7 linked regions of the Macaca mulatta genome follow. The protein of the gene in region 7 binds, or shares a complex with, the protein of the main gene of each other region. Links are inferred from orthologs where the notes say so. Each region holds a gene or a part of one and is shown on either strand. Other genes may lie near its edges.

What was found.
Region 1: SF3B5 (region 7) and SF3B4 share a complex: the UniProt entries of both Homo sapiens proteins name them as parts of the SF3B subcomplex of the 17S U2 SnRNP complex. The link is inferred for Macaca mulatta from reciprocal best matches to the Homo sapiens genes SF3B5 and SF3B4.
Region 2: the proteins of SF3B5 (region 7) and DDX42 are in contact, whole or in part, in a cryo-EM structure (PDB 7EVN), measured with the Homo sapiens proteins. The link is inferred for Macaca mulatta from reciprocal best matches to the Homo sapiens genes SF3B5 and DDX42. Residues at the interface, in NP_112577.1 of Homo sapiens: Arg4, Tyr5, Thr6, Ser9, Gln10, His13, Leu14; in NP_031398.2 of Homo sapiens: Asp156, Ala159, Tyr160, Phe161, Tyr163, Met164, Asn167.
Region 3: SF3B5 (region 7) and SNRNP200 share a complex: the UniProt entries of both Homo sapiens proteins name them as parts of the minor spliceosome. The link is inferred for Macaca mulatta from reciprocal best matches to the Homo sapiens genes SF3B5 and SNRNP200.
Region 4: SF3B5 (region 7) and PPIL2 share a complex: the UniProt entries of both Homo sapiens proteins name them as parts of the minor spliceosome. The link is inferred for Macaca mulatta from reciprocal best matches to the Homo sapiens genes SF3B5 and PPIL2.
Region 5: SF3B5 (region 7) and BUD13 share a complex: the UniProt entries of both Homo sapiens proteins name them as parts of the minor spliceosome. The link is inferred for Macaca mulatta from reciprocal best matches to the Homo sapiens genes SF3B5 and BUD13.
Region 6: SF3B5 (region 7) and PLRG1 share a complex: the UniProt entries of both Homo sapiens proteins name them as parts of the minor spliceosome. The link is inferred for Macaca mulatta from reciprocal best matches to the Homo sapiens genes SF3B5 and PLRG1.

What each region holds. Positions count from the first base shown.
Region 1 is NC_133406.1:117,231,368-117,233,494, forward strand, and holds the end of SF3B4 (splicing factor 3B subunit 4), read left to right. Parts: intron 1-935; coding exon 936-1,109; intron 1,110-1,220; coding exon 1,221-1,408; 3' UTR 1,409-1,627; downstream 1,628-2,127. UniProt on the Homo sapiens protein: Component of the 17S U2 SnRNP complex of the spliceosome, a large ribonucleoprotein complex that removes introns from transcribed pre-mRNAs.
Region 2 is NC_133421.1:73,613,126-73,616,673, reverse strand, and holds the end of DDX42 (ATP-dependent RNA helicase DDX42), read right to left. Parts: intron 2,960-3,548; coding exon 2,861-2,959; intron 2,126-2,860; coding exon 1,424-2,125; 3' UTR 501-1,423; downstream 1-500. Other genes in the region: pre-rRNA 2'-O-ribose RNA methyltransferase FTSJ3, read left to right, coding at 1-11. UniProt on the Homo sapiens protein: ATP-dependent RNA helicase that binds to partially double-stranded RNAs (dsRNAs) in order to unwind RNA secondary structures. Unwinding is promoted in the presence of single-strand binding proteins.
Region 3 is NC_133418.1:5,017,829-5,021,328, reverse strand, and holds part of SNRNP200 (U5 small nuclear ribonucleoprotein 200 kDa helicase), read left to right. Parts: coding exon 1-100; intron 101-684; coding exon 685-912; intron 913-1,261; coding exon 1,262-1,453; intron 1,454-1,551; coding exon 1,552-1,730; intron 1,731-1,912; coding exon 1,913-2,064; intron 2,065-3,500. UniProt on the Homo sapiens protein: Catalyzes the ATP-dependent unwinding of U4/U6 RNA duplices, an essential step in the assembly of a catalytically active spliceosome. Plays a role in pre-mRNA splicing as a core component of precatalytic, catalytic and postcatalytic spliceosomal complexes.
Region 4 is NC_133415.1:31,306,111-31,309,610, reverse strand, and holds part of PPIL2 (RING-type E3 ubiquitin-protein ligase PPIL2), read left to right. Parts: intron 1-35; coding exon 36-153; intron 154-3,500. UniProt on the Homo sapiens protein: Has a ubiquitin-protein ligase activity acting as an E3 ubiquitin protein ligase or as an ubiquitin-ubiquitin ligase promoting elongation of ubiquitin chains on substrates.
Region 5 is NC_133419.1:117,435,031-117,438,530, forward strand, and holds part of BUD13 (BUD13 homolog), read right to left. Parts: coding exon 3,144-3,500; intron 1,567-3,143; coding exon 1,352-1,566; intron 1-1,351. UniProt on the Homo sapiens protein: Involved in pre-mRNA splicing as component of the activated spliceosome. As a component of the minor spliceosome, involved in the splicing of U12-type introns in pre-mRNAs.
Region 6 is NC_133410.1:163,129,965-163,133,172, forward strand, and holds the end of PLRG1 (pleiotropic regulator 1), read right to left. Parts: intron 2,986-3,208; coding exon 2,792-2,985; intron 2,244-2,791; coding exon 2,184-2,243; 3' UTR 501-2,183; downstream 1-500. UniProt on the Homo sapiens protein: Involved in pre-mRNA splicing as component of the spliceosome. Component of the PRP19-CDC5L complex that forms an integral part of the spliceosome and is required for activating pre-mRNA splicing.
Region 7 is NC_133409.1:49,348,244-49,350,920, forward strand, and holds SF3B5 (splicing factor 3B subunit 5), read right to left. Parts: upstream 1,194-2,677; 5' UTR 1,093-1,193; coding exon 832-1,092; 3' UTR 501-831; downstream 1-500. UniProt on the Homo sapiens protein: Component of the 17S U2 SnRNP complex of the spliceosome, a large ribonucleoprotein complex that removes introns from transcribed pre-mRNAs.

The sequences.
Region 1 (2,127 bases), on a different chromosome or scaffold from region 7:
TTCCCTAACTTCGATCTACTTTCACAGAGTAGGTTTTTTAAAACACAGATGTGCACACACTTGCTCAAAATGACTCTGTTGCTCCCTTTTACCTACAGAGTAAAACTCAAACTCATTACCATAGCATTCACAGCTCTTTATGAGCTGGCCCCTGCGCCTCATTTCTGTAACTGCATTTTGCTCCTGATTACTGAGTTAACTGGCATTTCCTGGAATATATTGTGCTGTTTGACACACCTGTAATCTTTCTGCTTGGGATGCTTTCTTCCCATGATCTTACCCTCCTGAAGCATTCATCCTTTAGAATTAGATCTTGGCTTAGACAGTATGTTCTCTGCTACTTTCTCAAATCCTATCAACAGAGTCATTACTCCACTTGTTATATACTTCAGCATTACTATTACAGTACCTAAATCATGGGAGAAGCGAGCGTAAGGAGTTGATTGAGTAATTGGTTGGTTTGTGCTGTTGGAATAGGGTCAAGGATAGGGAGCACTTTTTACCACCCTTCTTTTTTTGTTTGTTTGTTTGTTTGTTTGGTGATGGGGTCTCACTCTTTCACTCAGTCTGGAGTGCAGTAGTGTAGTTTTGGCTTATTGTAGCCTTGATCCTCCCATCTCAGCCTCCTGAGTACCTGGGACTACAGGCACACACCACCATGCCTGGCTAATTAAAAGTATTTTTTGATAGAGATGGGTTCTCACTGTGTTGCCCAGGCTGGTCTTGAACTCCTGGGCTCAAGTGATCCACCTAGGCCTCCCGAAGTGCTGGGATTATTGGCATGAGCCACTGTGCCCAGCCAGCCTTATTTTCTGTACCCTTTTTTCTGTATAGTTCTCTTTCTGATGTCACTTTCTTTCTAATTTTGTTCTTTTCTCTATTTTCTTTGCCTTCTCTTTGTCTCTTTTCTTCTTGTGTCTGTTTTATTTTCATAGGGATGTCTCAGATGCAGCTGGCACACCATGGCCCTCATGGCTTAGGACATCCCCACGCTGGACCCCCAGGCTCTGGGGGGCAGCCACCACCCCGACCACCACCTGGAATGCCTCATCCTGGACCTCCTCCAATGGGTATGCCCCCCCGAGGGCCTCCATTCGGATCTCCCATGGGTAAGTCGTCTCTAGCCACCTCCCTCATCTGCACCTATCATGTTCTTACAGCTTCCTGTAGGCACATCCCTTGTCCCGTGCCCTTACTAACTTTTCTTTTACTCCTTGCAGGTCACCCAGGTCCTATGCCTCCGCATGGTATGCGTGGACCTCCTCCACTGATGCCCCCACATGGATACACTGGCCCTCCACGACCCCCACCCTATGGCTACCAGCGGGGGCCTCTCCCTCCACCCAGACCCACTCCCCGGCCACCAGTTCCCCCTCGAGGTCCACTTCGAGGCCCTCTCCCTCAGTAAATTCACATTTTTCCTTCCTCCTGTTACATCTTCCCAATATCTTTTCTATTCCTTGGACCAATCAGAGATGCTGTAGCTCCTTGGGGCTAAGGTACTAATCCCTTTCAGCACCCCCACCCCATTCCCCTTTTTAATGTAATTTTTTCCACAGGAGGTATTTCTTTTTTATGTTGGTCCTGAGTATTTTGCAAATGCACAGAGAAAATAAAACTAAACTGCTTGTTTATTTGTGGTGTTTTCCTTGACAACAGTAACCTTTTTTCTTTAAGAAGAGATGTCAGAGTATCATGAAAAGAATGGTAAGGTAGGAGTAGGAGCAAGGGTGCTCACTCCACATTTTAAAGGCTTGTTCTGTAATGTGCTGTTGCAGTTGCTGAGCTCTGCTGTGCACTAGAGTAATTGTTTCCTTACATAGAGCTTATCTTCTAGTTTGGAAGATAGGGGGACCCAATATCTATAGTGTAGGGTCATCGTGTTTTTTTCTTTTTTTTTTTTTTTTGGAGACATGGTCTTGCTCTGTTGCCTAGGCTGGAGTGCGGTGGCATGATCACAGCTCACTGCACCCCCAACCTCCCAGGGTCAGGTGATTCTCCCACCAAAGCCTCCCAAGTAGCTGGGATCACAGGTGTATGCCATCACACCCAGCTAATTTTTGTATTTTTTGTAGAGGTGAGATTTTGCCATGTTGCCCAGACTGGTTTTGAACTCCTGGGTTCAAG
Region 2 (3,548 bases), on a different chromosome or scaffold from region 7:
AACGGAAGTAAGCAGAGCTGCCAGGCTCACCAGGAGAGCATGGGGACTAGGAGGAAGGGTGTGGCATGGCTCAGTCTGGCCCCCTTGATAACCAGCCCAGCCCCTGCTCACATCACAGCTGTCTGAAGAACAGTGAGGCGGGGTGCCTAGAACTCCCGTGGTGGTCTTCGGCGGAGAGGACGATGTCCTCCTGCTTGCCTGAAGGAAGGTCTCCCATGAAAGCACTGCTGAACTGTGTTGACAGACCCACGACCCTTTTTTTAAACTGTTAAGGGGAAGTTCAGTGTTGGAGCGACACTCGATGTAGTCTACACCTGGACATGTGGGCCCCTTAAGCCTTCCCCCATCCTATTCCTGAATAAAACCAGGATAATGGAAGAGTTGTCTTTTCTGACAGTTTTAATAAGCACTTCCCTACATCTGAGTACGCACACTGTGGGCGGCACTATTCTAAGATGTACCAACTCATAGTGAGACAGAAATGACAAACGATCCACAGGTCCCAGTAGTAAAACATTTACTAGAGAGCAAGCAGAAAGGAATGCACATCTTAAAGAAACCTTCACAAAGTCACAAAAGTCAAAGTTTGTATATTTCTTTTCCTTTTATAAACAACATAGAACAAAAATCATCAAAATCATTTCAGCAAAAGACTTTTCTATCATTGGGGCAAGTTAAAAAAAATACAATGAAATAGAAGAAGAAGACACTTTAAAAGCTCTTGTTGGGTTTTTTGTTTAATTTTAAATTTAGCAACACCATCTCAGACCTGGAGCAATCCTAGAACAGTTACCAGGATCACCTTTTCCCTTCAATCCTTGTGGCTTCTGGGAATCTTCAGAGCCTGGGTCTGGAAGGTGTTTCCTACATGTCTCAGGGCTGGACGCAAACATGGCTGGGGACCTGAGCATCAACTCCCATTTAGAATCAGACATCTCCCTTCCCTGCAAATGTCTACAACTACCAAATTGCTCCCCAACAGTTAGTTCAATGGATTGAGTTTGCAGAAGCCAACTCCTAAAAAGGGGACTGCCTGGCCATACAACTAAGAAAAAGAAGTCGATTTATAGATGTTTATAAGGTGACACCTTAGTAAAAAATATAAGCTACGTATAATATAAACCTAGAGTGAGTTTTGTGCCCTAGAAGGCCCTTTATCCCAAGATAACCTCAACTTACCCTCATGACAACTCACCTAGAGGCAAAGGAAGCTTCCCAGCTCTACTTCCAAGGACCAAAGCAGCTTCCCAAGAAAACATCCGAAAATTCCTTCTGATGAAGGGGTAATGTCTCCAAGCTCCAGCTCTCCACTAAGGGCAGGGGGTCCTTACACTTTGGACCCCAACCCAGCCCTGAGACACCTAGTTACCGAAATCTTTCTAAAAATTAAGGACAACTGATTTCACACTTCAGCACATCCCCTCTAACTGTCCCATCGACTTTTCTTGCGTTTAGGCGGCTCTGGGACAGCAAAGCCATCAGCTGTCTTATCTGTCTTGCTGTCCACCTTGTCCATCTTGCTGCTGTCCACTTTGGGTTCCATCTTGGGCTCCATCTTGCTCTCACGATTACAAGCTTCTTTCCTGCTTTCCCCATTCCGACCGTCATTTGCACCCCGGTTCTCCCCATGCCGGCCTGCGCTTCCTCCATGTCTGTTCTCTCCATGCCGATGGCCATCAGTGTGACGGCTGCTGCTTTCTGGGTGGCGGTATCCATCTCCATGGCGACCACCATCTCCATGACGTGGGCCATCGCTATGCCGATTGCCAGTCTCTCCGTGACTGTGACGGCTGCTGCCCCGGTTCTCATATCTCTCTCTTTTCCCGTTGCCGCCCCCAGTCCCTTCTCGGCTGTTATTCCCTGAAGCTGTGTTGTTGACTCCCTGGGCTCCAGCAGATGGGTAGGTCACAGGGGCACCACTGATGTTGCCAGTATTGCCAAAGCCTGGAATGCCCTTGGTGGCACTGGCAACAGGGCTGTCAGGACTGTTATGGCCCTGTTGTGCTGAGTTAGTTGGAACAGAATTCAAGCTCCCTGCGCTAGTCCACCCACTTGCCCCAGCAGCAGAGCTTCCAGCCTTCTGATTACTTAAACTGGCTGCAACAAAGTGACTCTTGTACTGTGACTGAAAGAGAAAGAGACATCAGGAGTAGGTAAGATAGCAAATTCAAGAAACCTGAATATACAACTTGGCAAATGATGAGGTTTACAGAAACACTATGCTATCTTGGCACTGTGACTTTAGTGTCCCGCTGGCCCCACAGTATGGTCCCTTTTTTTCTTGTGCTATAAAGGAAAACTTGTGGATCTCTGTGGAGAGATGGACCCCCAGTGTTCTGAAATGTACTTTTATAGCCTGATTGGCTACAATAAAGCATCTGTGTATTTAGCACATTTATCTGTTATTTACCATTCAAAACCAAAAAGTTCTGAAAACTTAAAAAAAATTTTTACGCTGAAATTTAAGTTTGACAGCAAAACCTGCCTTGAACTCATTCTATCGATTCACCTTAGTGTGACTATCAGTACATTTTGCTTCAGAAGTGAGTTGGAGGTGGGCGCCTGGGAGGTGGGCAATACTGCAGGCTGTTGGGAAGGGAGGGAACACACACCCTGCTGCAGGACAACAATCCCAGGCCCTGAGTGTGACTCAAGTAGACCAGCACAAGGGGTTCTCTAGATCAATTTGCATGTCCAAGTAAGCTACTGTTAGGTTTATATTCAAAATCCAAGCAGCGTGAAGACCCTAAATCTAGCATCAAGCCTGTAAGCCCAGCTACAACCAGGAAAACTAAGCCCCTCTTGTCATTGCCCAAGAGTTACTGCTGAAAGTGCTTTTAATGAAATGCTTATTTCAGACCTGGAAAGCTGCTTTCATTGCCGTTAGTCGATCTCCCATAGCTCCTGTGGAAGGCTTGTAGGCCTCATAATTGCTCATTACATTGTTATTTCCTCGGTCCTAAAAAAAATAAACACAACTATGAGGATGAAAAAATAAGCAGGAAAGCTCACTGCCATAGACTAGCCCTCATTATAATGAAAACCCTTGAAGTGGGAGCTGCGAAGGAACTGGATACTTTTAGAAGGCTACTTCTGCTTTGTGAGAAAAGACAGTGACAATCATTTAAAAATGCTTATGCCCTCAACCCAGAAATTCTACTTCTTGGAATTAACCCTATTAAACAGAAATGCAATCAGATTATGCCCAAAGTTGATCATATATTATTTACATACACACATCCAATTAAGTAAGTAAAAATTATGTTAAAGATGAAAAGGCTCTGAATAGCATATTGTGTGACTGCTAAGGCCCTGAATCAAGACCATGAAGGGTCTGAATTTCAGCTTAAATGCTTGTCAGTGTAACTTTAGGTGTCTCAATGTTGTTATCTGTACTAACTTCCATTTGGTGGTTGTGAGGATTAACTGAGCTAAAATATCGGATTGCTTGGAATGGTCCTGGCACATATAAAGTGCTCAATAAATATTAGCTATTATTATGCATAATCATTATTATAATAATGTGGGAACAGAGTATGTAATTATCA
Region 3 (3,500 bases), on a different chromosome or scaffold from region 7:
GAAGACCATTTGTGCAGAGTTTGCCATCCTGCGGATGCTGCTGCAGAGCTCGGAGGGGCGCTGTGTGTACATCACCCCCATGGAGGCCCTGGCAGAGCAGGTATGACATGGCGCTGTATCACGTGAATTTGCCCAGAAGCATTTCATCTGTGATTCCATATGAAGGCTTTTTTAGGCCGGAAATTTGCAGGGTCATTTCTTCAGTTTGTGTATTAAAGAAAAGCCGCCCCAGCGAGGCGCGGTGGCTCACGCCTGTAATCCCAGCACTTTGGGAGGCCGAGGCGGGCAGATCTCCTGAGATCAGGAGTTCGAGACCAGCCTGGCCAACATGGTGAAACCCCGTCTCTACTAAAAATACAAAAACTAGCTGGGTGTGCTGGCACGCGCCTGTAATCCCAGCTACTCGGGAGGCTGAGGCAGGAGAATTGCTTGAACCCGGGAGGCGGAGGTTGCAGTGAGCCAAGATTGCACCACTGCACTCCAGCCTGGGCAACGAGAGTGAGACTTCATCTCAAAAAAAAAAAAAAAGAAAGAAAAGCTGCCCCATCACATAAAGGCTGCTGTGGGATTAGAACGTAGCTTGAGATCAGCAGGTCTCTGTTTGGCATCTCAGGTTTTCCTCAGGTAAGTGAAAGATGCCTGGTATGACCTCATGTTGTTCGGCCTCCCTCCTCTGCCTGCCAGGTATACATGGACTGGTATGAGAAGTTCCAGGACAGGCTCAACAAGAAGGTGGTACTCCTGACGGGAGAGACCAGCACAGACCTGAAGCTGCTAGGCAAAGGGAACATTATCATCAGCACCCCCGAGAAGTGGGACATACTTTCCCGGCGGTGGAAGCAGCGCAAGAACGTGCAGAACATCAACCTCTTCGTGGTGGATGAGGTCCACCTTATCGGGGGCGAGAATGGGGTATGGCGCGACCTTGCAGCACAGATGAGGGACTGGGACTGACCGAGTGACCTTGGCATTGGGCCTTGCATTTGGGTCTGAGGACGGAGGCTCGGGGCTTCTCCCCGGAGGATTCTGCCTGCTGCCCTATTCCAAAGGGACAAGGTCAGCTTTTTTGGTAGTACTTTAGGAAAACAGTATTGTTTAGTGGAGGTTGGCTGCTGTGGAGGAGGTAGAACCAAAAACATGAGAGCTCCTAGTTAGAAGGAAGAACGAGGTCATTTTGAGGCTGCTGGGCTGTTCACAAAGGGGACCTCCAGGCAGAGGATGGGAGCCTCGGCCTGCAGTGACCCTCCCTCCCTCTTTCCAGCCTGTCTTAGAAGTGATCTGCTCCCGAATGCGCTACATCTCCTCCCAGATTGAGCGGCCCATTCGCATTGTGGCACTCAGCTCTTCGCTTTCCAATGCCAAGGATGTGGCCCACTGGCTGGGCTGCAGCGCCACCTCCACCTTCAACTTCCACCCCAATGTGCGTCCCGTCCCTTTGGAGCTGCACATCCAGGTAGGACCCACTCTCCTCATCCGTCTGTGGGGTCCTACGTAGATCCTGAGTGCCCAGGTCTGATAACCTTGGTGTGTTTTCTTCTTCCCGGTCGCCAGGGCTTCAACATCAGCCATACACAAACCCGCCTGCTGTCCATGGCCAAGCCTGTGTACCATGCTGTCACCAAGCACTCGCCCAAGAAGCCTGTCATTGTCTTTGTCCCGTCTCGCAAGCAGACCCGCCTCACTGCCATTGACATCCTCACCACGTGTGCGGCAGACATCCAACGGCAGAGGTGGGCGGGGCCTGGTGTCTGGGGGTTGGGGTTAGGTTAAGTGAGGCTGGCCCACTCCAAGGGTGCCCTCTTTATGAGGGTGGGGTTAGCCCATGTGGCTCGGGGCCAGGTTCTGTACAGCTGGCAGGATGTCTGCCAGGAATTGGACCACTCTGAGCTGAGCCATTGCCTGTGCCGCACAGGTTCTTGCACTGCACCGAGAAGGATCTGATTCCGTACCTGGAGAAGCTGAGTGACAGCACGCTCAAGGAAACGCTGCTGAATGGGGTGGGCTACCTGCATGAGGGGCTCAGTCCCATGGAGCGGCGCCTAGTGGAGCAGCTCTTTAGTTCAGGTGAGTCAGGCCACAGAAGGGGAGCACAGCAAGGGCATCACCAAATGGTGGTGGTAAACCTGAGGGGTGCGGATGGCAGTATTTCTCTACAGCATACTAGACCTTTTCAGAATACTGTTTAGGACTCTTAGCTGTTAACTCATTTGATCCTCCCGAGAGCCTCGTGAGACAGGTGAGACAAACACTGTCCCTACTTGCCAGGTGAGAAAACAGGCAGACACGTCGGGCTGTGCTATTACAGACAGGTGAGAAAACAGTCAGACACGTCGGGCTGTGCTATTACAGACAGGTGAGAAAACAGTCAGACACGTCGGGCTGTGCTATTACAGACAGGTGAGAAAACAGGCAGACACGTCGGGCTGTGCTATTACAGACAGGTGAGAAAACAGGCAGACACGTCGGGCTGTGCTATTACAGACAGGTGAGAAAACAGGCAGACACGTCGGGCTGTGCTATTACAGACAGGTGAGAAAACAGGCAGACACGTCGGGCTGTGCTATTACAGACAGGTGAGAAAACAGTCAGACACGTCGGGCTGTGCTATTACAGACAGGTGAGAAAACAGGCAGACACGTCGGGCTGTGCTATTACAGACAGGTGAGAAAACAGGCAGACACGTCGGGTTGTGCTATTACAGACAGGTGAGAAAACAGGCAGACACGTCGGGCTGTGCTATCTCAGACAGGTGAGAAAACAGGCAGACATGTCGGGTTGTGCTATTTCAGAACCTGGTTTTCTAGAGTCCAGGACCTTTGGCCACTAGACTGCTGATTCTCCATGGATTAGTTCATTCTTGCATTGCTATAAAGAAATACTTGAGACTGGGTCATTTATAAAGAAAGGAGGTTTAATTGACCCACAGTGCTGGAGGCTGTACATGAAGCATGGTGGCATCTGCTTCTGGGAATGCCTCAGGGAAGGCCAACGGGAAGCAGGCATCTTACATGGCAGGAGCCAGGACCGAGAGAGTGGGTGGGGAGGTGCTACACACTTGAACAACCAGATCTTGTGAGAACTCACTCGCTAGACAGTACCAAGGGCGGGTTGTGCTAAACCATTCATGAGAACTCCGCCCCCGTGGGCCAGTTATCTCCCACCAGGTCCCTCCTCCAACACTGGGGACTACAGTTCGATGAGATTTGGTGGAGACACAGATCCAAACCATCTCACCAAGATCGTTAGACTTTAGAGATTAGCACACAGGAGAGCTCTGATTCTCCCTTGGGCACACTCTTGCTGGCCACTGTCCCTTGTTGACCTGTGGCATTTTGTGCAAAGATTTACCTTTTAACACTGCTTAATGGAGCCTCATTGGAGATCCTCCTGCCAGAATCACTTCCTGTTACTCTTTGGCCCTTGAATCTGCCTGTTTGGGGCATGCTTAGAGTGACCTCCGGTTTGCTGGCGTGGCTGAGCCAGCCCATGGCTGCGTGAGT
Region 4 (3,500 bases), on a different chromosome or scaffold from region 7:
AAGCTTTCCTGCTTCTGTGGGCCTTTCTCTTCCAGGTGGGGAGTCGTACTGGGGGAAGCCCTTCAAAGATGAGTTCCGGCCCAACCTCTCTCACACGGGCCGCGGCATCCTCAGCATGGCCAACTCAGGGCCCAACAGCAACAAATCTCAATTGTGAGTCAGCCGGGCTGGCTGGGGTGGCCTGGGAGGTGAGCCAGCACTCCCTGCAGGTTCTCCCTCTTGGCCCTCCCTGAAGGGCGTGCTGGTTCTGAATCAAACCCAGACAGTGTACGGCACACCTAGGCCAAGCATGTGCACCTGTGTTCAAAAGGGGGCCCCCCAGAGTGAGTCAGCAGGGAGAGCTGCCCGCGCCCGGTTTGTCCTCGAGAGACCAGAAGTCATGAATTACTGGAGGTCCAGAAGGGCCTCTTGATAGGGACCAGGCGTTCGTGTGGGTGCCTGTGGCCAGGCAGTGCTGGGGGAGGTCAGCGTGCTGGAGTAGCGTGTGGGAGGGATTGTGCAGGGCATGGGCTGGACAGGGAGAGGCGCCTGGAGAGACACAGGAGGTCTGGGGAATGCGTGGCCCTGGTGCATGTGGGGAGCAGTGTGCAGGCTGGTGGCAGGCGGCAGGGGATGGGGGGCCAGCAGGGCTGTGGGGGCCAGATGCCTGTATTGTGGAAGAACAGAGGTGCCCTTTCCATCCACCTGCCACCCCAGACAGTGGCCTGACTTTATGTTTTAGTCTTTCAATCATTTTCTTCACGTGGGTCCGGTGACTTTCTGGATAAAGCAACTTCTTTTTTTTTTTTTTTTTTTTTTTTTTGAGACGGAGTCTCGCTCTGTCACCCAGGCTGGAGTGCAGTGGCAGGATCTCGGCTCACTGCAAGCTCCGCCTCCCGGGTTTACGCCATTCTCCTGCCTCAGCCTCCCGAGTAGCTGGGACTACAGGCGCCCGCCATCTCGCCCGGCTAGTTTTTTGTATTTTTTAGTAGAGACGGGGTTTCACCGGGTTAGCCAGGATGGTCTCGATCTCCTGACCTCGTGATCCGCCGGTCTCGGCCTCCCAAAGTGCTGGGATTACAGGCTTGAGCCACCGCGCCCGGCCAGCAACTTCTTAAGGACTTTTTATAATTTGTGATACTTTTGTAAATGGACTTTTTTTCCAACTTTTGGGGATCATTGCTCATGGAGAGAAAAACTCCTGTTCATTTTATATCTAGCCACTTTATCACGTTCTCTTATAATTAAAAAAGGGTTTAAGAGTCTTTTGGGGCCGGGCGCGGTGGCTCAAGCCTGTAATCCCAGCACTTTGGGAGGCCGAGACGGGCGGATCACGAGGTCAGGAGATCGAGACCATCCTGGCTAATATGGTGAAACCCCGTCTCTACTAAAAATACAAAAAACTAGCCGGGCGAGGTGGTGGGCGCCTGTAGTCCCAGCTACTCGGGAGGCTGAGGCAGGAGAATGGCGTAAACCTGGGAGGCGGAGCTTGCAGTGAGCTGAGATCCGGCCACTGCACTCCAGCCTGGGCGACAAAGCGAGATTCCGTCTCAAAAAAAAAAAAAAAAAAAAAAAAAAAGAGTCTTTTGGGTTTTCTAGATAGTCACGCTTATCATCAAAAGCTGGCCGCCTCTCTGCCACCCTGGTGTGCTCATCAGTCCTGTCACCGTCATGTCACCGTGGGCCTGATGGGGAGGAGGAAGTGGGCGTCTTGCTTTGCTCCACAGGAATCGCTGTTTTGCCTTCTCAGAACATTTGTTGTTGGGCTGTTTTTTAGGAGGGTGGCTGAGTTTCTAGAGGTTTCTTTCTTAGCATCTGTTACGATGATTCTGTGCTTTTCTGGTCCTCCTGGGATTTGTGGATGTGGCCACTACAAGGCTAGAGTGCATGGGTGTCTGCGTGGCATTCTGGGGTGAACCCTGGCCTCTCGTGGCTTTGCTGTGGCCTTCCACCGGCTCACTGTCTTGTCACACGTGGTCTCAGTTGTGTGGACTGGCTCCAGCAGGTTTTGCTGTGACAAGTGTGGCCCCTGCATGTTGTGAGCAGAGCTGGCTGTGGCTTTGTAGCCTGGAATGGTTAAAATCACAGGGGTGGCTGGGCGTGGTGGCTCACACCTGTAATCCCAGCACTTGGCGAGGCTGAGGTAGGTGGATTGCCTGAGCCCAGGAATTTGAGATGAGCCTGGGCAACATGGCAAAACCCCATCTCTACAAAAAATTTAAAAAATTAGTGGGGCATGGTGGTGTGTGCCTGTAGTCCCAGCTACTTGGGAGGGTGAGGTGGGGGATCCTCTGAGCCTGGGAAGTCAAAGCTGCAGTGAGCTGGGATCGCACCACTGCACTCTATTCTGGGCAGCAGTGAAACCCTGTCTGGAAAAAAAAAATCACACTGGCATCAGCTGTGGTGAACAGCCGGCCAAAGGCAGCTGGCAGCCGTTCGTGCCACTTTCTTGGGGCTTTCATTTCAGGGTTAATGGGTACTTGTTCCCATGAAGCTGATGTTCTCTTGGCCTCTCTGTGCTCACCTCTTTTTTTTTTCTCCTTCCTAATCACACTTTCTGTTCCTCGATCCCTTAATGGTCTTTGAAGGGTTTGTCTGTTTTCACTTCCTGTGGAATTGTTTTCACTCTCTGTCTTTGCTTCTTCATGGTGCTTTTCCTCCTTCTTCACTTTAATCCATGTCTGCTTCTGGAGCCGCGTCTGTCATTTTGAGGGTGCACGTTCCCTCTTCACTGCTTGCTGGCGGTTGGTAGCTTCCCTTTCAGTTTCCTCTTAGCCAAGGATTGCCTAGGACTGTTGGTTATTTTCAAGTAGGTTGGGTGCATGGTTGGTTCTTGTTTGGCAGGGGCCAGGATGGGGAATCATTTTATTATTTTTTATTTCTCTTTGGCTTAACCAGCCTGTGAAACGGCTGACAGATCAGTTGCCACCTTCTCTTCCTTTTTTTTTTTTTGAGATGGAGTTTCACTCTTGTCGCCCAGGCTGGAGTGCAATGGTGGGATCTTGGCTCGCTGCAACCTCCGCCTCCCGGTTCAAGCAGTTCTCCTGGGATTACAGACGCCCACCACAATGCCCAGCTAATTTTTTGTATTTTTAGTAGAGACAGGGTTTCACCATGTTGGCCAGGCTGGTCTCCAACTCCTGACCTCAGGTGATCCACCCATCTCAGCCTCCCAAAGTGCTGAGATTACAGGCTTGAGCCACCATGCTCAGCCTTCTCTTCTTTTTTTTTTTTTTTTTTTTGAGACGGGGTCTCGCTCTGTCGCCCAGGCTGGAGTGCAGTGGCCGGATCTCAGCTCACTGCAAGCTCCGCCTCCTGGGTTTATGCCATTCTCCTGCCTCAGCCTCCCGAGTAGCTGGGACTACAGGCGCCCGCCACCTCGCCCGGCTAGTTTTTTGTATTTTTAGTAGAGACGGGGTTTCACCATGTTAGCCAGGATGGTCTCGATCTCCTGACCTCGTGATCCGCCCGTCTCGGCTTCCCAAAGTGCTGGGATTACAAGCTTGAGCCACCGCATCTGG
Region 5 (3,500 bases), on a different chromosome or scaffold from region 7:
ATCAAATTTCATCAAAACCATCAAGTTTAAGAGTAAGCAGAAACACAAACTAACAATATATTAAAGGGAGAGCTACACATTTGCATTTCTGACTTTTCAGAATATAAACTGCACACATGAAGATTCTCTCAGGTCATCTGATCAGAAACCAGTATAAAGCACTAAGCCTTCCATTAGAGACCAACACTGATAAAATATTCCATTTACAGTACAAACTCAAGCAAACCTAAGATCCTTAAATTGTGGATATATTTCAGGGTAATAACAAAAGATCTAACCAAATGAAAACTTTTTGCTAATTTCCACTTAGTATCAAGATAGCAAACCAGCCCACGAATGAAGCACACAGTATATCCTGATATCCTTAAGCAACCAAATTGGACTAATATTAAGTTGTCCATGAACTAAACAGATATATAAAATGTCAAGGGGTCCAGCTGAAACAGAGACCTCTTTTTTCCCTAAAAGAGGAGAATTTCACTCCCTGGGTAAAGAACAAGCTGGTCTACCCTGCCAGGACCAGTCTTCTCAGAGTTTTCTACAGACAGGATTTACCCGATAAGTCTGCACTGGGGAGAAAAATGCACATCACAGCCTCTATCATTCTGTTTCTTAACCATTCACAAATAAGATTCCTTTACTACTACCAATGTTCTTTACAATATAATTACTCAGGGTTCATATGGATTTTTGGGTTTTTTGACTAATTCATCAAGCTTTATCATGAATTCAAAACAAAACATTGACCTTTCGGACAACATGATTTCTAAAAGTGGTTTCATATTTTAAGTGTCTGTTCTTAAGTTCTGGATACAGAGACCTATAGTCCAATTTATAGTAGTAAATCACTAACACTAGATACTTACTTTGTCCCAGACACTGTGCTAAGAGTTTTACTTACACTGGCTTAATTATCATAACAACCTTACACAGTAGGTACTACTATTATCCACAATTTACAGATAAAGAAACTGAGGTTTAGAGATATTAAGCATCTTGCCATATGATCCGTTTGACACAATGTTTGTGCTCCAAACTCCACTCTGCAAATTACAGTCCCCAGTTTATTCCTAAGAAAATAGGAAGCTTTTCTGGACCTGTTAAAATGAGATTGTAGAATTAAGAGGCTATAAAAGCAGAAGCTACTTGGGAAATCTGGTATCTGTAAGTCCATCCGGGATGGGTTATAGCCAGTTTGCCTTCAGAAAGAAAGACCTCCAAAGGTCCTTTTAACTAAGATTTACTACACTTCTAAGAGCTACATCCTTCTTCTCGGCTTATCTGGGACATATATAAAACTGAGAGAGAAGAGTCACACAAAAAGAAGGACATGGCTCCTGAAAATCCTGACCTTCTTTCCAGGCTGACTCCTTCGAGGCGGGGACAGATCAGAATCAGAAGATTTGGTCCTCTGTCTCCTCCTTGGTGGAGAGAGGTCAGAATCAGAGCTCCGGTGTCTAGGTCTATTCCGTGGAGGTGATAGATCTGAATCGGAATCCTGGTGCCCTGGACTTTGTTTATGCCGTGGAGAAGAAAGGTCTGAATCAGTTGTTTTCTGGCAGTCACCTGGATAGGAGCAAAGAATCTGTGTGACTCTGATGTCCCCTGGGTGAAGAACTTACATGAAATCTCCTATGGCTGGGAGAAGAACCTAGAAATTAAAGAATTCCTTCTATTTTATTTTATTTTATTTTTTGAGACAGAGTCTCAGGCTGGAGTGCAGTGGCGTGATCTCAGCTCACTGCAATCTCCGCCTCCTGGGTTCAAGCAATTCTTGTGCCTCTGCCTCCCAAGCAGCTGGAATTACAGGTGTGTGCCACCACGCCCAGCTAATTTTTGTGTTTTTAGTAGAGATGGGGTTTCGCCAATGTTGGCCAGGCTGGTCTTGAACTCCTGACCTGAGGTGATTCGCCTGCCTCGGCCTCCAAAGTGCTAGGATTACAGGCTTGAGCCACCATGCCTGGCCAAAGAGTTCTTTAATCCCCTTGGAAGAATCTAAGAAAATAACTTACCAAGCTAATGTACAATATTTATTTAGTTTTTCTATGAAGAATTATCATTAACCTAAACATAACTATGGATGACATAGGAGAAGAGCAAAGTCAGAAACAACTTTTAAGACCAATAGGTAGAAGATGGCATTCTATTCCCAAGTGACCACTGACTGTAACTGGTGTGTAAGATCTCCACACACTCCTCTATGTCAGTAACCCCACTCATGGAAAGACAGCTCTCCATAGTGTGGCAAAAGTCAGAAATACCTAGAATTATATTCTGATATCCTCGGACTAAAGGATAACAAAGTGCTTTAATTTAAAATTAAAATAGTTCCTGGGAACAAAAGAGGGAATAAAAAATTTAACTGCACAGGCCTAAATTCTAGTGACTGTATAAGCATCACAAGTCACCTCCCAAAGAGCATTCTGCAATATGTATCGACAGTCTTTAAAACGGCCACATCTTCTGACCCAGTACATCAACTTCTCAGCTTTCTGAGAAACCTATATAGAAGTAGTTGAATTTCCAGGAAATCTATCTAGAAGTAGATAAGGAAATAATCCAAAATGGGGACAACAGTTTATGTACAAGGATGTTCATTATAGAATTACAGAAGCAAAAACTTAGAAATAACCAAAAATATTCTTTATTAGGAAAATGGTTAAATTTATGTAATGAAACACTATTAAAAATACTAACATAAAGATGTTTTTATGGCCTGAGGAAGACTGTTAAGAAAGGAGAGCAGGCAAGATTGCACATGCAATACAAATGTTCTACATAGCCAGAACTCAACTATATAAAAAAGGCAAACCAAAAAAGACTAAGATGGTCCTGGCTACAACACTAATTGCCTCTGAATGACAGAATTTTGTGTCACATTTTATCTTTATACACTTCTGTACATTCTAAAGCTTCTGCAACAAATAAATTGTACTTTTCTATGGGGTGGGGCGAGTACGTAAAAAGATACATGAAAACCTTCCTCCTGCCACCATAATCCTTTAACTCTCCCAAACCCAGCCTCTCACTTTTCAAAACTTTCCCAAAGAAACTCCATTCTCATACCTAATAAAACAAGTAAAGGGCCAAAAGAAAGCTCCCAGGGATACATATGTCCCTCTCATGGACAGTCATATGCTCACCTTTGGAATCAAACTGCTTCTTGTCTCCAAAATGGGATTTTGTTTGCTTTTTTCGTGGAGGAGAGAGGTCAGGGTCATACTCATATTTGCTGTTCTTTGGGAGTGACGAATGGGAGGCTCCTGACTCCTTCCAAGGTGGAGAAGTCTTGCTAGAGGCTCTTTCTGGGGCTTTACCACTTTTGGTTCTGGGTAGGGAATGAGTGACAGTAGGAGCCAAATCAGGGGAGTCATGATGGGCCCTTCTGAGTTGCTGTGTGTCTGAAGAGCCAAGAGTCCTCCTAGATGTGTCAGGGGAGTTGTTATGGACCCTTCTGGTGGTAGAGATATCTGAGGAATCACGACGGGCTCGCCTAGGAG
Region 6 (3,208 bases), on a different chromosome or scaffold from region 7:
ACTATGGAGATGTGTATTTGGTCATTGTTGATGGCTCCCTTGAGATATGTGGTTACAGACCAAGAATGAGTCCAGTCTGTGGAGCTGCCTTTCTTTGGTAACACTTTATAGCTTGACTACACTTAAGCCATATGCAATGGGCAGTGGAAGAGATTTGGGCTTAACCCTGGTGGGGGGTCTGTCAGGTAAGTAAAAGGGCACATGCATGAAATTCTGCACCTTTCATAGGGTCCATGAACACATTATGGTAGATGAACTTAATGCAACAGAAGTTTCAAGAAACACTGTAATATAGGCCAGCATGGAGCAGGGAAACAGATTTTTTTAAATGCTTTTCAGAATTTGATATGTGTACCTAACTTGAACACAATAGTTGAAGCTCTGCTAAAAAGATTGGTAGGGGCTTTCTCATCTCCTTGTACTAGTCATTTCTTCTTGGCCTTTAACAGCATCTACCTCTGATTTTTGTTGTTAGAAGGCATATCAGAATCTCTCAGGAATGCAAGTGCAGCGTTCTTTTTTCTTTATTTAAGTTTATGAAATACATGCTTATAGAAAATTAAAACATAGAAATATGTAAAGCCAGTCGTGAAAGTTCTTCCATAATTCTGCTTCCTAACAAAGCCACTGTTAGTAATGTGGTGTTATATTTTGGAGCATTAAGTTGTTCACAAAAAATGCTTGCACAACTTTTTTTAACTAAGAGTAAAGTTTGGAAATTTTGCCCTAATAATCCAGACATTCCTCACTCACTTAATGAATACTTAGAAACAAATTGCATAAAGGAACCATCTATTAAACCATCCCTTATTGACAGGACATTTGAGTTTTAAGTATTAAAGAACAAAGGTGCAATGAATTTGCTTGTGTACACTTGTCAGATTATTCCCATTAGGCAGTTCCCTAGAAATGAACTTAGTAGGCCAAAAGGTTCAAACAGTTTCAATAAACCCCAGAAAACTACATTCCTAAAGGTTGTGCCAATTATACTCCCACCTATAGCATGCAAGATGGGTAATATAATTGGAAATGCTTATTCAAAATCATAGTGCAATTTTTTAATTTGGAAAATTATAAAAACTGACTGTTCTTATAACTGTGTTTTCTCATTATAGAAGGTGAAGTCTGACAAATCTTCTTGACTAAAGGGGAATCAGGATCCCAGGGCAAGATTTATAAAACTTGTATTTATCAAAAAGAGGCATTAGAAACTTTAAAACTTCTCTTTAAAATCTCTACAAGATTGCAGCCCTTGCTACAGTTTTAAACAGCTGCACTGGTATCTCCAGTTATTTTCCCCAAGTTTCAATGGCAGTATTGGTATCTTACTAGTTGTGGAATAAAATCCAAATTTATATGAGCTTTCCTCACAACAAGCCAGCTTTACTCTCCATTATTCAACAGTAGCAGAAAATTCTTTGTCCCAGGACACACCGCACACTTTCTTCTGCCTGGTTTCATCGCTTCATGCCTTATCTCTTTTCCTTCTTTGTCCTCCTTCACCTCAAAGTCATCTCCAATGCCACTTACTCTATGAAGTCTTCCACAATCCTTCCTGGGAAAAATAAATGATCTCATCCCCACTTCTGTTCCCCCAGCATTTCACCTGCACCTCCATTACAGAATTTCTATACTAAGCTACCAAACTGGAAGTCTTAGAGGATAGACACATCTTACTTGTCTATTTCCTGAACGGTATCTAGTGCAGAACTTTGTAGAACATACACTCAAAAACCGTTTTTGGAATAAACATATATAAGTTAAGACTTTAAATCTTTTAATCTCAAATTATTAGTCACAGATATTAATTTTTAAAGGATTAAAAAAAAAAACCTACTGCTCCCTCAAATGTCCTATTATAATAATCGGTTTCATACATTTTTTTAAAAAAGGGGGTTGTTCTAATAAGACTGTCAAAATATTACATCTAGAATAGTTACAGTCAATAAACCTGCATTTACTTGATATCTGCATCTTCCTAGTATCACAAATTGTTTTAGAAATAAAAACACAAGGGTAGGGGACAGGGGACAGTTTATTGTAAAATATGAAGCAGCAATGATTGAAGCAAGTGAATTTCTCCTTTATATTCCCAGCCAGAGCACAAAATGACTGGGTATCCTCATCAACGCCAAGCTTTTTTTTTTTTTTAAAAAAAAAAAAAAAAGAAAATTCCACATTCATTAAAATCTCTTTCTCTTGATAATTTCTGGTTTCCAGCTGACTGGATGAGTTTCTTCTGTCTAAAAGTAGAAAAGCAAGTTAAAATAAAGTATTATTAGTTTGCTTCATGTCTAACAGGCTTCCTTTCTAACAGAAATAAGGTATCTCCTCTAACATTATTCATTGGCATTATATACTTAGTAGTTCTTTGACAATTTTAGGAAGAGTTGATAAACTTCTGGCATTATCTAAGTCTAATAACAGATGGATGGATTCATTATGTTTAGTTTGCAGTTTTTAATCTAAAATAACATTTCTATTTGGATCTACTAATACCAAAGCTTATGATTCTCAAATGAATTTGCATAGCAATCTATTTATTTGCTGTTATTCTTGGTGCAACATTTCCCAGCAACTATAACAAAGAAAGCTGGGATAAAATTAAAACCATCCATGAATTCACTGGCATCAGTGAAATAATATAGAAATCTATAAATAGACACTATTCAAGAAAACAAATATCTTAAATACTATAAAGATTATTTTTCCTTCTGATAAAATTAAATGAGAACACAGTGCCCAATTGGTATAGCTGCTTTACTTAACAAATGTGAAACAGAGAACTTACGGCTGTGTCATCCTCTCTGTATACTTTAATGGTTTTATCAGCTTCAGCTGTTAGTAATCGACTTTCAGACTGATCAAAAGCACAAGCAAATATTCCCGATTCACTGTCCAAAGAGCCAGGTTGCACAGCTGCATGAACTCTCTGAAAATTGTAGCCAGTTCTCCAGTCCCAAAGATGCATGGTGCCATTGTCAGCTTAAAGGGAAAAATCTAGTTACACCTGGTATCCCTTCAGCAGTACAGCTTGACAAACATTTATTAAGCATCATTAGCCCAAGCATGGCAATACTTCGGTTATAAAAATACATAAGACACAGGCACTCAATCTTCTCCTAATATTGGCTTTTCTACTTTCATTTGTGCTGGGTTCAGAATTTATAGATCTTAAAAAGCACCTCAAAATCTAACATCCAATTCC
Region 7 (2,677 bases):
TTATTACGTCTACAGTGTTTGACCTCCTTTCTCCACCACCAGCATAATGTAAGCCTCAAGAACATGGGAAAATGCCTGTCACATAGAGCTCAACAAATATTTGTTGAATATAGAAAGGATGAACTCACTTGCCAGCTTGTCATTTCTGGAGACATGGCCACAAATTCCCAAGAAAAAGAAAGGATGCATTTTAAAGAGGCTAAGGAGGACAATGACAGCAAAGACTGCAAAGACTTTTAAAACGGGAGAAAAAGAAAATGGGATACAATAACTACAAACTTCAATACTGAAGGCATTGTGGGCCTGAAAATAACGCTCTTGGGAGAAGTGGCAGTCGGGGAATTAATTATAATGGTAGACAGGGTGGATTTAAGTACCTGATCATGGACACTGGCATGCACTCCCTCCCCCGACCCATTTCCCGCTCGGGTCTTTCAGGAGCCCTCCACCCTAACACAGGAAGTTCACACCAAGAGACTTAATGATTTCTAAACTTTATGGAAAAAGCCAATGACAATCAATTAGCCAAAAATGAGACGCCAAATCCCATCTCATTCCAGCGCCACGCCCTCTTCTCAAACGCTTGCCGGCTCTAGGCCCTCTTCACCAGCACAGTTCTCAGGAGTTCTGCTGGTCTCCCAGTGCTATTCCAAAGGGTTCACATGAAGGCAGGTCAGGCGGGATTCCCCGGGCAAGCACTTCTGTACGCGGAAGTACCAGACGCAGGAGCCATGGAGAGCCGGTCCTTTGGAGGCAGAAATAGTCGAAGGGATTGGCCAACCTGAGGAACACTGGGAGAGGTGCCCCGCACAGTGGTGGTAAGGCAGAGTCTCAGTTCTCCTCGGGCTTGTCGGCTGGCGGTCCACAAGGCTGAAGCATCTTCTCCATCAAATTGAAGCGGACTCGCGCTTTGCTCTCATTCTCTGCAATGGCGAAGTAGTTGAGAAGGTCGAAGTGGCCCATGTAGGAGCAGTACGAGTCGCGGTGTTGGTTCACCAGCCACTCCCACTTGGTGGTGTCGGCGTGGCCCGTGCCGATGTACTTGGACTGCAGGTGCTCCAGCTGGCTGTGGATGGTGTAGCGGTCCGTCATCTCGCCGCTTTCCCCTTAGTTCCCAGGACAGAGGACGCAGACAACAAACCGCCGCTCTGGCGTTTCACGCGGGAGTGAGGCCACCGTGCGGAAGCTCCAGGCCCGCGCCGTCGCAGAAGAATGGCGTCACGACGACTAAGTAGCGTAAGTCTCGCTCATAGGGCTCAAAGGCGGAAGCGGAAGCACATTCTGTCACGGAATTGGAGTTGCCGAGGCGACGCCACAAGTGTGTCGCCCCTGTAGAGAGCCCCGCCCCGTCAGAGAGCGTTGCATGATGGTCCACTTGGTGGCTATGGGAAGCCCTTTTCCAACAGGGAGCCTTGCATGCTGGGACTTGTGGTCTTGGGAGTTCGTGCTCGTAGTCTTCTGGAACTCCTGGTCTCGTTTTGTTGTTTGAGACAGAGACTCGCACTGTTGCCGGGACTGCAGTGTAATGGCGCGATCTCGATTCACTGCAACTTAACGCCTCCTGGGTTCACGCGATTCTCCTGCCTCAGCCTCTCCAGTAGCTGGGATTACAGGCGCACACCACCACGCCAGGCCAATTTTTTTTTTTTTTTTTTTTTTTGTATTTTTAGTAGAGATGGGGTTTCACTGTCTTTGCCTGGCTGATCTCGAACTCCTGATTTCGTGATCCTCCCTCCTCGGTCTTCCAAAATTCTGGGATTACAGGCGTGAGCCACTGCGCCAGGCCCCTGGTCGCGTTTTAAAAGTGATCTGGGGACCTAGTGGAGGGTGATGTCTGGGAGGTGGGGAGCATCCGTGGGTGGCTTGGGGCTGATGGGAAATGGGAAACCCAAGTAGGACTGGACTACAAGCAGCCCCGAAAATAAACTCTCCGTGTTTTCCAAAGCTATCATGGTAGCACAGCCATCCCTTCACAACCAGGGATGGATTACCCAGAAGTCGGCAGGCACAAGTTCTGGTCCCAGCTATGTCTTTTAGGAGTCTGTGGCATAAAAGAGTTATTTCAGCTCTAACCAGGGTGCTTGGTGAGCAAGTACAGCACCAATTCCCACACATTCCGGCTTCCACCTCAAGCTCCTCCTTCCCCTCTAGCCACTTATTTTGATATCCTTCCTCCAAGGCCTCACTGCACCCTACTTGGCCCTTCCATTCAGTGGGTTTTGTGGATTCAACCGACCCGATTGAAAATATTTGGGGAAAAAGTCAGTCTGTACTGAAGTGTAGACTTTTTAAGGTTATTATTCCCTAAACAATACAGTATAACAACTATTTACATAGCATTTACATTGTATTAGGTATTGTTAAATAATCTGGAGACAAACTATACAGGAGAATGTGCATATGTGCAAATACAAGCCATTTTATATCAGGGACTTGAGCATCCTCTAGTTTTGGTATCCATGGGAGTCCTGGAACAAATCACTCACGGATACTGAGGGACAACTGTACTTCTCCGTGTTACCTGTTGTGCCCGTCCCCATTTTCTTGTACAAGCTGTTCCCTCTACGTGGAATGTCTGTTCCCTTGGTGAATACATCTCCCAAAAAGGCAGCTCAAATGCATCTCCTTAGAGTTTTCTCTGGCTGCTCCAGACAGATGTAAACTCTCCTTCCTCTTT